Linked DNA regions of Arabidopsis thaliana. The protein of the gene in region 2 interacts with the protein of the main gene of each other region in a pairwise test. Each region holds a gene or a part of one and is shown on either strand. Other genes may lie near its edges.

Region 1 (6,859 bases), on a different chromosome or scaffold from region 2:
CTTTTATGTTATGAATATATTATACGAGGATTTTGTCCCCTACACATTACCATAAAAAGAAAGATGGAGTGTGTAGAATTACAAGATAATTTATTATGATGAAATAGATAATTAAAATGTATAGTAAAATTGAATGTGTATGATTAAAATTTTATTTAATACAAATATTTCCAAATTAAATATTAGAAAAAATGTCTGGATCAATATTTACTATTTAAAATTTAAATATTCTTAATGAATATTTGAATAAATTTTTATCTTACATCCGCCTATACACCCGCCTATATAGGCGGACCTTATCTAGTAATTATATATAATGAAGAACTCAAAATAAAGCTCAAAAAAGCTTGTGGGAATTGTTGTGTAATATGAAACAGAAAAGAGATACAAAAATGTGAAAAGAAACTGATGGTTTCCGTTTCATGTGATATTTGCAGTTCTTTAACTAGTTTTTGTTTTCTTTAAAGGCATTGATATTTTGCATTTACAATATGTCAACTTCAAGAAGAGTAATGTGTGAATTACAATGTCATTCTTTAGGAATAAGCTCTAAGATCATGGGTTGGCACAAGCATCCAAGAGCGATCAGGTCTAACCATGCTCTGCCCCAGATATTATCCAAGTGTTAATTAGGAGTGTCCGTCCATCATGTAAGATCGCATCTTTCTTGACAAGCTTCTCTACTATAGGCTTCTCTAGAAGATCATTGACTAAACTGATTGTATAGCTTTCAGAAAGAGACTCAGATTTGGATGTGACAATAACACCATGGTTGGAGGCAATATCGAGAGTGTTAGGCACAGTAACTATGGAAGCTGCCTCTTTAGGGGAGTGATTTTAAAAGCATCAAAACAAGGAAGGACGTCTCCAATAAATAATCCACCTTCACAAATGAAACTCAAAAATCAGCATCCACACATCCTTGTCTGTTTTACATAGCTTAAAAAAGGAAATCACCGTTGTCTTTGAAAGCTTATCTTGCACATGAAGCGGTAGCAAGAATATGATCAAAAAGGAGAGGAACAAGACTATCAGGGTCATGAGCTGCAAGATAAGGAAGTGTGAGGAATACTTTCCATCGTATGAATAATCTAACCTGTCAACACAATGTGTATCTCGGGACCAGGATCAACACCCGATTTCTCATAATGGCGAGCGAGAGAATAAATGGCGTTGAGAGTAGTAGCACCATACCCGATCCGTTTGCCATCTGGATCAAGAACGACCAAAGTCGATAGTGGAGCTAGCTATTCGTCCCATACGTTTAGCTTGCCGGAGCTGCCACTCGTAAAGCTTCGCCTATTCAGAACTAGTTGCTAGTCGGGAACCTAGTGGGATGGCACACCGAGAGCCTTAAGTGGTACCATGACTTGCGAAAAACGGTGGCTAATACAGTTTTTTTCCTCTGCTTAGACATCTTCTTGCTAAGAAGACGAAGAAATGTGAGAAATTGAAATCTGGAGGTTACGTTAACAGAGGAAGAGGAAGAAGTCAAATACCAATGCAATAACAAATACATCGCAGTCTTGATACTAAAAATCTCAAAACAGATCAATTTGCTTACATTCTTCACCTCAAAAATTAAAACTTTGCACAATATTCCAAAATTTTATCGATTGTTTTAAATACAGAAACTCTTGAGCTCTGAGACAGAAAGAACCAGAGTACATAGAGGAACTACAAACTTTGTAATGGTAAAACAAACTCAAAGAAGATTGCAAAATTAGCGGGTACAGAGAAGGTGATGATCATCGGTTCATTCCTCACGCCAAGTGAACTCGCACTTCAAGCATCTATAAAATCTTGATTCTGGCTCATCTGCTGAACGAATCTGCATTGATTTGAAGTACGCCTTGTCGTGGCCACACCTTGGACATGGAGCTGTTAAAACAAAACAATCCCAACATGAGAAAGTCATTGAACAAAAAGTCTACTCTACTCTTTCCCCAAGTGTTTTTGCACTTGCATACCATGAATGATGTAATACCACTTTAGCATTATTGTTTTTGCCCTTTCCATAACATGAGTAATTATGTAACTGATTTCCACCAATCAACTTTAAAGTATTTACGAATTTAGTCGACCAATCAACAGAGCATGGACTAACTAACTAATCACAGTTCTAAATTTAGAATAAGAGAAGACCAGAGACTGAAAATACCTTCTGTTTCAGCAGCTGTGGGTATATCATCTTTAGTAACAACAGGTTCTATAGATTTCTTAACCAGAAGTTGCTTCTTCTTTATCTCAACCCGTCTTTCGATATTGGCAACGTATGGACATGTGGAACAGAAGAATCTCGAACTCCCACCTCCCTCGTAGCGCAACAGATTCCCACATGTGGGACAAAACTCCATCTTCCACCTCACCGATCAATTCGCTGCAAAATCATCCCCCACAAAAATCAATTCATAAAACTATGATATAGACAGATATATAGAGACAGAGAGAGGGAAGGGCTGTTTTTAATACATTGTTCTACTGTGTTCGTGTAACAACCAGTTTTTACTTTAATAGCAAGGCAGGTCATGAAGTAACTTATAATTCAAGTAATCCATTCTTAACCGGAAATAACCAATACTTTTCCATAAATTCAACTTTACATTCATTAGACTTTGGTTTAATAATGAAACCAACTCCAAAATCTAGCAATTTAATAATACCACAATTCAATCCACTGACTTAATAATTCGATCCACTAATCCAATCTATACTCACGAGTGACGACCACATTCTAAACCAACAATTCAATTTTTATTGCCAAGATTGACCACATTTTCAATAGAATATACATATTTAATCAAGTGTGGTGAAATCAACAAACCCAATAGCGAAGCTATTGTTCATACATAAACACAAGCACGAAAGAGAGTTTCTGTAACAACGTTTTGACTTTTGACAAATTTGCATACAGAGTCAACAAAAAGTCGAGATCTTTGTGTAACCAAAAGCATAAGAACCAATCAGAACAGTTAACAATAAAAATGATTAAGCCAGAAAACCTAGAACACAAATTCGTGAAACCCTAAATCTCAGAACAAAATAAAGATCGAATTCGCAAGATTGAACAGATCGACATCATATGAGATCGAAATGATTAAAAAATCGAGCTTACCAGGCGATGCGGGTGGTGTTGGTTACGGAGATTGCGGACGAGACGGCCTAAAGTGGCGGTCTCAGCGGCGGCGATAGATGGAACCTTTGACGGCGATAGATGTAACCTTTGACGGCGAGAGATTGATGTTTGTTTATATATTAAGGCCCATTTGTTTAATTCTCTGGGCATTTAGGCCTCTTTTTATGCTTCTTCTTCTTTTCTTGAGTGTCTTAGGGGTTGATTGGAACAAAAATTAAAAGCCAAAAATTTACTAATCCCACTTTAAGGACTTTATTTAATTTAAAAGCTTTTAAAGTCTATGATTCATAGGCAAACCGACATTTTTGAAGTATCCAAGGAATCTGAGGTAACTGGTTTATTTTATTCTTTTTTTTTTTTCACATAAAAGTTTTTTTTATTAAAAGCATAACATCTTACAATACTTCAAGTACAAAGAGACAAACGCTCAAACCGGTTATTCAAACCCGGTATCAGAGACGGCAAAAAGAAGCCCATTACAAACATAAGCCCAACAATTCATGAAACCACTGGTTGAAGGAAGAGTCGATCATGTCCAGCACAGATACACGTGTCACGAAAGGAGACAATGATGATAACACGTGAGACGTCGGAGTTTTAGGTCATCGTCGGTCAGCCGACATAGTTTGCAACCGAAAGGAATTCTTAGTCACCGGAAAAAGTCGTAACGAGCATCAATACATCAAGGCTCAACAATATCCGATGAACATCACCACCAAATTCAGAGAATCCCAAACAAACTTCGCCGTTAGATCTGCAAAATTGAAATCTTCCATGGATAAACGCAGTTCATGAATTCCGGGATCATCGACTTAAAAGATAAGCTGACAAGGCTTCCATTATTAAACCTAAAAAACAGGAAAGATAAAACGATTCACATGCTTTGGTAAGAAGAAATTAGCCTCAATTACGTTAAAATCAATCCAACGACAACTCCAATCCGCAACTTCAAATCCGATTTTTAAAATTGAGAAAATTAGCTTGAAAATCGAATTAAGCTCTTTAAACAAAGAAGGATCAGAGAATTATGCAGTCAAATCAAAGGATTAAAACGCAAACTAAATCCAAACAAACTAAAGCAAAATGAATCGAGAGAAAACGAAAATAAAAACAAAACCCCAAAGCCAGCCAACCGTCGCTTAAGAAGCCGACGGATGCCAGAAGCAAGCTGACAAACGCTGTGAAAAGCATTGACGGACGGCGGATCGGACATCTCTGCTAACAAAGCCAGATGATGCCGTGAAAGAAGCTGACCAACTACTGCATGAGAAGCCGGTGGATGTCAGACTCAAAGCCAGCGTTAAGAAACTGGACGACGTTAATGGATTTTGTGGAACATCAAAAGAAACTTGGATGTGGCTCTCTCTCTAAAAGATATTAGAGAGATAAGAGAGAGAACTCTCTCACACTCCCGGATGATGGAAAATAAATTAACTGCTTTATTTTATTCAATTCAGGTTCAGTTTTTTAAAGTCACAATGTGAGACTTTTTGGGCTATAAAACAAATAATAAAATAAAATCTGTTTTTCTTTTTTTTTTCTTTTCGTTTTCTCCATGACAAATGAAAAACAATTTCTCTATCAATAAGTAATTTAACTCAAAAATATTTTGATTAATTAATAATCATCTTTCTATTTTCACTTTTTAGAGATCCAGTTTTCATTATTTTTTTGCATCAATTGCATCACAGTGATAGTTCATTGATCCAAAACACCTAATCAGATCTTTATATGGATTAAATATATTTTTTATTTACTGAGATTTGAGTATATTTATCTATTTATTTTATTTTGTATTTTTCTAAAACTTATAATAAATTAATTTTGTTAGTATATTATCACAAAACTCATTTTCAAATAATTCACAATTCTAAATATATATTGTAAAAATAATAGTAACAGTTTCTACAGTTTTTAGTTCCAATCATACTTTAACAGCCAAAGTTTTTAAAGTCAAAGTCTTTACAGCCAAATTCTCTACAACCAAAATTTCTATAGTCAAAGTCTGTATAGCCAAATATAACAGTCGTTACCAATCGACCCCAAATTTTTTAGTATTTCGGCTTTGTAAAATTTCTTGAAAAGTAACCACTACTTCACTTAACGATAGAAGTTAGAACGATCAAGGCATAAAAACCGGAACCAAAGAACCAAACCAAACCAAGCTGAAAAAGGGTTCCGGTTCGTATCAAGATACCACTAAATACTCCTGTTGAATCTCAGTCAAACTATCCATTGGATATTGGATATTGGATATACGGTATACGCAAACCGAAACGGATATCTATGGATACCCAAATCGAACCAAAAAATATTTGGTCAACTCTATACAAAACTACATCTAAGCCAATACATTTTTAAAAAACCTATCACCCAAAAAAGTTTTGTTAATTTTTTAATATTTTGGACCATTATTATTTTGGTAAAAAAGTTTCGGATATTTTTCGTTTCTTTTTTTGGTATTTTGAGTAAAATGATCAAAACCGAACCGATATCTATTAGAATTTGGTAATTTGTCGGCTCTCTTTCTAAGTATCTGAACCGAACCGAAACTTTTTTGGTTCCCTTATGGATCCTAAGAGGCTAGAACAGCATAATCAAACGCCCAAGCCTAATATTTATGTATTAAATTATTATAATAATAATTCAAATATTCGAATTATTACATAAGTTTTACCAAAATATGCAATTAACAAAAATAACGATAAAAAGATACAACCGCAAATAATATTAATAAAAAGTTACGATAAAAAGATACAACCATTCAGAATCAAATAGATACGGCTATAGTTACACAAGTATAACTGTCCGAAAACATAACCATAAATATTTTAAAAATATTTGACAAAAAAAACACGACCGTAAAACAAATTTTAAATATTTTAATGAAAAGTTGCGGTAAAAACGCAACCGTTTAGAAATGCAAAAGACATTTATTGAGATTGTTATTGCTATTAGATTCCAAAAAACTTTGGTTAGATCAAGAATTAGAGCAATTTCTTTCATATTAAAATGATGTATGTAAGTATGTTTATAAATAGTTTAGAGAGTAAAGAATTTGGAGCCATTTTCCAGATTATCATTTTTTAATTCATCATAAAACAAATAATATGTGTGAATGAACAAAATATGGTTAGGAAGAAAGACAAATATATAGAGTTCAAAAATCATAAACATTTAAATAAACAACTTTGTTTATACGGAAAGTAGTGAAAAGAAATGCAAAGAAATATAATGTAGAGACGTAACTTTAAATGAATATATGCAACAATAAAGACACAATCGCAAACTGAAAAGATACAATTGTATTTTGAACAAATATAACTATCAAAAAAAAAAATCGTAAATATTTTAGCAAAATGATGCGATAAAAAAACACAACCCTAAACTGAAAAGATATGACTGTAGTTGAAAAAACATAACTGTCAAAAAAGATAACAATAAATAATTTAACGAAAAGATGCAATAAAAAGCCACAACCGTAAATATTTTAACAAAAAATTGCGATAAAAAGACGCACGCAACCATTTATCTGCGAAAAGATACTATTGTAGTCAAACAAAATAACATTCAAAAAAATATCATAAATATTTTAACGAAAAAATGTGACAAAAAAAACAGCCGTAAAAACATAAACGTATATATTTTAACGAAAATTAGGATAAAAAGACGCAACCGTTTCAGAAGTGCAAAAGATATTTGTTCAAATTGGTATTATTATTA
Region 2 (7,066 bases):
CCAGAAAGCAGTACGTATCTCTAAATAAACAACAGTACGTATTTGGTTAAAAGTAAAGACTATGACGACATACCGTGTTATCACTATTATGGTCACGGGAATTCTCGCGATCCTGGTTTCGCCTTTCTCTTATTTCTTGTTCACGCTTGAGCTCCTCCACAAAATGATCTATGTTTCGAGTCTTTCCCTTTTCCATCTCCTTTGATCTCTCTTCATCCCTCTAGAAAGAGGAAAAATTGTACTAATAATCAGTTAAACCATTACTTTAAATCAGGAACCAGAATAATATAAAATACTGATATGGTCTCTAACTACTGACCTTATTCTCTGGTCCTTTACCCTTAGATGCCAATGGTGGGGGGAGAAAGGAGGGAACATACCTGTAGAAATTACATGGAAGACAATCTTCTATATCACAAGAGCATGGACATTGGTTTTAACTTATCAAGCCATACGCATGGACAACATCTCAAAACCCACAGTTTATACTGATGAAGTAGGAAACCTCAGCTAACTGCTATGTGCAGATGACAGAAGTTTATTGTACTCCAAAACATCACAAACACAAGAGAAATGGAATTAACTCTAGCATTGTAACAAACACATCAAAGAGGCCTACACTAGAAATTAGATATGACAGAGATTGATTAATCAAAAGCAATCACAGTTATACCTACTCCCCTTCTTTGAAATGGAATCCCCATCTCTGGACTTTTCACCTGTGATCCGTGAATGCATAGAAGAAAACGTCCATACTTTTTTTAATTAACATGTTTCTCAATGTAATAGAAACATAATTCTACCAATCTACATGATCAAAACAATTCAATGAAACACAGAAAAACTAGCCTCCAGTTCTACTAGATGAAGCAATGTCGGGTTTCCAAGAGACTAACCTTGAGAATCAGGCTTGAGCTTATTATCATTGGGATTGATTGTCACCTCTAACAAAAGTCTTAGCTGCAGCATTATCCCCTTGAAACGATTCCACGGACTCTTGATACAGACGAGCTGTTTCATCCTCCGCTCTCTGCATTTACCATAAATTTATTCAAACCAATAGAGGCTATTGAGGATTTTGGTAGCTAAGAAAAGAAGAAACAAACCTTCTTCTTGGCTTCTTCTTCTTCTCTGTGTTTCTGGAACGGTGTTTTCTTCCAGGGTGATCGAGAAAGAACTCATCTTTCACCATCCAACTTTTCTCAGAATCGGAAATTTGTCAATCGATAATAGCACGGCACCAAAATGGTCTCTAGTCTCAACGCAGATTGAGAGATAAAGGTTAAAATGCTCCAGAAAATACCTTCTTCAGAGTTCAGTCTTAACCCAGTTTTTTTCTTGGTAAAGAGAATAATACACACTCTTTTTTTGTTCACTTAAAATTTACAAATCTTATATCATCAGATTACTTATTAACAAAAAGATTACTTTATACGAAGTATGATATAATTTCTAGTCGAGGACGATTCAAAATATCTCATCAATTTGAGAAGAAGAATTTGATATAGAAACTAGAAATGAGCTTAAAATTTGGATAGCAAAGATACTTTTAGTGGCTAACACATCCAAGAGAACCACAACTCTTTCTATGCATATTAATTAATGTTACATTGGCAAATATATATAATAACGAGTGATGATGCTTTAAATGGCCTCTCTCAACATATGTTTCTTCAGGTAAGACAATTTCATATGATGCTTCTTCTTCATCTGCCTCCATTGGCAATTCTCTTCAGATGGTGAAATGCCTTCTGCTTAATCCATTGCCTGTCATATGGCAGATATGCACTTATCGAGTGGTCATAGCTGCAAAATGACCAGAGGATTTTGTTAGAAAATCATAAGAACATTGACAAATCCCTTCACGATTCACACGCAATAACCATCTTTTTAGGAAAATCATGATACTAATAATGATTCTTTACTTGTTTAATTAGCACCAAGCTATCAATGAACTTAGTAGCAAACTAGCAATTAAATGATCATTGACAGTTTTGTTATACAACATGGGAATCCTACTAATCTCTATAAACATTACTAGCAAGAGATTTCTATAATATCTACTGTGAACTTGCAAGTGGAGAACTAGTTAAGAACAAGATATATGCAGTTTATCGAATATTAAGAGAGAATTTCTGAAGAAAGTTTCTTTGCAAAAGAACAACTGTGCATGTGCCTGTTGCAGCTTTGAGTTTAAACATTCCTAAATGTTTTTAACGACTACCAAAACATCCAGGAATTCAAAAGAATGGTATGAGTGGGAACAGAATACTATTATTTAGAGGGAAAGAGTAAGAATAAACACAATTCATGCTCTTTATAGATGATGCAATGTGGATCCTCCTTTTAGTTTATGTAAAAATGTGAAAGGGTGATGTGAATTTGACAGTACCTGGAAGGACCTAAAGCATTTAAGAGAAGAGAAAGGGGCAAGACTTACACCAAAGCGCTCAAGTCAGCAAGACCATCAATAAAATTGTAAAGGTCAGCAATGTCATAGCTAATATTTCTGAGAGAAGGGTTAATTTCCTTCAACTTCCTTTCATATAAGCCGCAAATACCTGTTTACGACCAGAAAAAAATCAGCGTTGCAAGCTAAAAACTTATTGCTTCTACAAAACCAAAAACAAAAAAACAGCTTCCTTAATTCACTTAAACACTCGGAAGAGAGGTAATGAACTTAAGAAACCTACATTTCTTCTACATTGCTAATTCCTCCACTTTATTGAGCAAACAAGTTAGTAATCAAAATACAAACCACTTTATTACCACTTTATTACCGAGCAGACTCATCACACACTATATATCAATCAGCTTATAGCACTGGTACTAAAATCTGAACTTCCTAATAAGTCACAGAAATAGCTACAGAATTATATAATATACATGTCGTAATTCAAAATCATCCATCTTGTTGCCACAAAGATAAACCTCAACATAATCATAACCAAAGTCAACAATGAGTAGACTAGTTAGAGAATGATGATTCGAAATTAATAATTACCATCCATAGCTTGGCCTATAGAGTCATAGTCCATGAAAGTCCTCGTAGCTCTGCTCGGAGAATTCTGCAACAAGATGATTGTGTGCCTACTACTGTTGTGATTAGCCTACACAACAAAGAAGAAAGTTGATAATAGTCAGCTTATAAGAACTGAGACAATCAAAACAAGTTTGAATTTCCTTCTCTATGTTCCGTAAACTAACGAGAAATCATCAGAAACTGAGATTCAAACTGCGTAAGGAACGATATTCGAAAACCTAACACGATCTAACCAAAAGGATTTGCTCAAATTTCTTCGCGATTGACTAAGGAATCACTAAAACTACACAAAAGGAACGTTAGGAGAAGAAATCGATTACCATCTTCGAGTGATATTGTGACTTCGCTAGCAGAGTTTGAGGTTTAGACGACGAAGACGAGAAGAAGAAGAAGAAGTTTCACTGTTTGAGAGAGAAAAACGAATACTGTATAACCCAACAAGAGGGCAAAATCGTAAAATAACATAGGGTCTCTGTCGCTTAACATGTGACATCAGATATAGTACGACAAAACGGCATGTATTTCCTTTAAAATATGAAAAAACTACAAGCTGTTTCCATCTGATTAGTAGATTTTGTTTCTTTGAAATTGTTCATGTTAGGCATTTACTGTTCGAAATGTTTCATGTTATACAAAATAGCTTTACAGAAGCAAAAGTTTAATGTCGTCATCATCATCATCTTCTGATTGTTTCTTTGGCAACACATCAGAAGGTACAAGATCATCCAAATGATCGGAATCTGGAACGAGGAAAACGAAACACACAGTGACGAGTCTCAAAATATTCCTTATCAGAATCACGAGCCAGAGATTTCCGAAATCGTGTCTCGTGACACCAAAAGCGTGAAGAACAAACCCTCCACCCCATTTAGAAGCAAGCTGTCCAAAACTATCAATGCACATGAGGAAAGCAAAGAAGGTGCCTTCGATTCCCAGAGGACAAAGCCTTGTACTGAGAACCACCATGGGGATCCACCTGATCTTACTTATCATCTTCGTGAAAGATTCTTCGGTTATCACAAACAAGGAATCTGGTATCCCGAGAGTTAAGTTCCAGCGTTTGATGAAGACTAGATCAAGCATTCCTGAGAAGACGTATAGAAGTTGTGCAAAGAAGAGTATGTTCCTAAAGGAATAGCCTTTGAGCTTCTTGTGATATATGAGAACTCCAAACATAGATGCCAATGCCCCGACTGCATAGATTATTCCCACAAACTCCTGCATTTAGACCAAAATAAGCAAGTTTGAATCTAGCTCATAATTACATTATTGGATAAAGAATTTTATTAGCTTGTTCAGAAACTCCATAGCTTTATATGTCAATGTGACACTACCACACAATCATAATTTCAACACCATTTCATAAGGCATGCAGATATTCACAAACCTAAAGACAAGATTTTTCCTAGCTAAAATAGGCTTTCAAGAGAAGTGACTCCATGGAGATTAATATAAACCAGCGAAACAGTCTGAAATATGATTCACATAATATCATGACATACTACCACAGTGTCAATCTTGAGCTTGCGATCCATGGGAACCTGTTTTTGCTAGCTTCCCATGTCGTTTAGTAACTATACTGGTTCCTATGAACTCAATCTATATAAGACCCAAACTGTTTAACCACTATCTTTATTCTTTAAATCAAGATCTTTAAAAAGAGCTTCTTCAGGATTGTACAACCAACCTGGGAAAAGGCGGGCCCAGCTGTAGGATCAGTGTACCAGTAGAAGTGGCCTTCATGAGTGCTGATGTTGAGAGCTAAGGATATGAACATGTAAAGAGATGGCTTCCACACTTCAGGGTACTTTACTGTTTTGCACATTCCCTTCACCGCTACTCCTAAGCCATCTGTGTCCTGAAGAAAATTCAAACGATTGCTCAAGAGTTCGATCAAGATTCCAAGTCATGAGATAAAGTCAAGAGGCATGAATTTTCAATAATCCGGCAGAAACAAATAAAGACAAGGAAAATTTCTGTTTGGATTATTCTGCTGCGACGCCAATTCTGGTCACTTGTGAGAGAGATCAAAGGAGTTGAGATTACAGGCTAAGGCCTCACCTTTTTGGTCTTTTGTGTAGGAACAGTAGAAGATCTTTTCTCGTAGATGAAAAACCCAAGTATGACGATAGTTGCAGGCGAAAATGCTAATACCCCTAATGCTCCCTATATCAGAAAAAACAAAACAGAAAAACGAGATTTCAAGTTTCTAATCTCGATATCTAAAGGGAACACGTCCTGAAAACGTGACTAAAAAGGTGTAAAGGCTCAACCTGAGGTCCAAGCTGGTGAACGAAGACTCCACTAGTTGCGTATCCAACCAAAGCGCCAGCAGATGAACAAACCATACAAAGGCTCTGTATATCAGGAGCCAAAGATCGGATATTGATGCTGTTTGTTGCTATACACGCATCAATCACCACATCTGCAATGGCCATAGCTGCAGAGACACCTAAGAGGCAGCTCAAAGCCAAAGCAGCGGGCAACTTACCAAGAACAACAATAGCAATCGCAGATACCAAACCAAGAACACCAGAAACTACAAAATACGGCTTTCTTTTGTAACCTTTGATAGGGAACACATCGGTGAAGAGACCCCAAATGGGTCTCATGACCCATGGAATGTAATATAACCCCATGTAAAGCTGCACAACCGATGGCTGCACTTGCTGGACATCTTTCCAGTAATAGTCTGTGACGACTTTGAATATCGAACCAGAGAACCCTTGGTTTACACCGTACACAAGGACCACACCTAGCACGAAGCTCAGGTTTAGCCTAGAACTCAGCATTTGTAACCATTGGAAGGGCTGAATTAGAACTGAGACGACAGCGTTTCTTCTTGCTTTTGTCTTGATCTCAGAATGATCTGAAATTGGTTTTAGGAGAGGTTTATCGTCTGAGAAGAATTTCTCAGTTTCTAGTGTTTCCATGGTGTTGACTGTTTAGGAGATGAACATTGGATCTGAAATCAAAATATCGAGAGCAAGAGCCTTTAATCGTTATTTTCAATGTAAAGGAAATGCCTTTTAGACTTTCAAAAAGGTTTAGACATTCACACACGAGGAAAAACAAAAGATATATTATAAAGTTTCCCACTTGACAATGACATTTACCTTGTTGACTTTGTAAGCAATGACGTCTTTCTTCAACTACCAGTCTGAAATTCTACAAAAACGAAACCAAATCGCTTTATTAGCCAAAATTCACAAACTCGATAGTATGATTGACAGATCTTGAAAGCAAAAAGAGAAAGTCAAATGTTTCATCTTCCCACCGAAACTCAAAAATCCTAATCAACATCAACAAACACCTAAACAATTACTTCAAAATCCAATTAAAAAATAGAGAAGGAAAGCGATATGCTGCTTCGTTGGAGGTCATTATCTTTGAGATTCCCACAAGCTAAAAAGACTACTATATATGACTAGAGAGTCATGGCTAGACACTAATCAGAAAAAAGAGAGAAAGAAAAGAAGAAGCAAAACAGAGAGAAAATGGCAGGATTGTTTGATAAACAAGCCGATCTATACCTTGACGCCAGACCTAATTACCCCTCTGAGTGGTTCTCGAAGCTCGCTGATCTCACCGATCACCACGGTTTAGCCTGGGATGCTGCCACCGGAAATGGCCAAGCAGCTCTCGCCGTCAGTATTTGATGCTCATAAATTTTTATAGAGCTTCAAACTTAGATTTAACAGATTTAGCTTCTTGCTCGTAAATGATCACAACAACATGCATCAGATCTTGGATTTGACAAATTTCGCCTCCATTTTGCAGGTTGCAGAGCATTACGAGAGTGTCGTAGCAACGGACGTGAGTGAATCGCAGCTGAAGCTAGCAACGCCACATCCGAAAATCAATTATCGCCATACGCCGACGTCAATGACCGACGACGAGCTAGTGGAATTAATCGGAGGAGAAAACTCAGTGGATCTAATCACGGTCGCCCAAGGCGTACACTGGTTCGATCTCCCTAGGTTCTACTCAGTGGCCACACGACTCCTCCGTAAACCAGGCGGA

Evidence for each region.
Region 1: the proteins of ER (region 2) and AT4G07950 interact in a two-hybrid assay, tested with the Arabidopsis thaliana proteins (one large-scale study listed by BioGRID).

What each region holds. Positions count from the first base shown.
Region 1 is NC_003075.7:4,794,408-4,801,266, reverse strand, and holds AT4G07950 (DNA-directed RNA polymerase, subunit M, archaeal), read right to left. Parts: upstream 3,427-6,859; 5' UTR 3,116-3,426; intron 2,381-3,115; 5' UTR 2,358-2,380; coding exon 2,162-2,357; intron 1,882-2,161; coding exon 1,757-1,881; 3' UTR 1,472-1,756; downstream 1-1,471.
Region 2 is NC_003076.8:3,417,191-3,424,256, forward strand, and holds ER (enhancer of rudimentary protein), read right to left. Parts: upstream 3,503-7,066; 5' UTR 3,367-3,502; coding exon 3,364-3,366; intron 3,111-3,363; coding exon 3,005-3,110; intron 2,562-3,004; coding exon 2,441-2,561; intron 1,807-2,440; coding exon 1,707-1,806; 3' UTR 1,420-1,706; downstream 1-1,419. Other genes in the region: AT5G10800 (RNA recognition motif (RRM)-containing protein), read right to left, coding at 74-220, 320-380, 674-719, 897-1,030, 1,107-1,192; AT5G10820 (Major facilitator superfamily protein), read right to left, coding at 3,686-4,261, 4,731-4,901, 5,105-5,209, 5,317-5,976; AT5G10830 (S-adenosyl-L-methionine-dependent methyltransferases superfamily protein), read left to right, coding at 6,541-6,690, 6,824-7,066. UniProt on the Arabidopsis thaliana protein: May have a role in the cell cycle.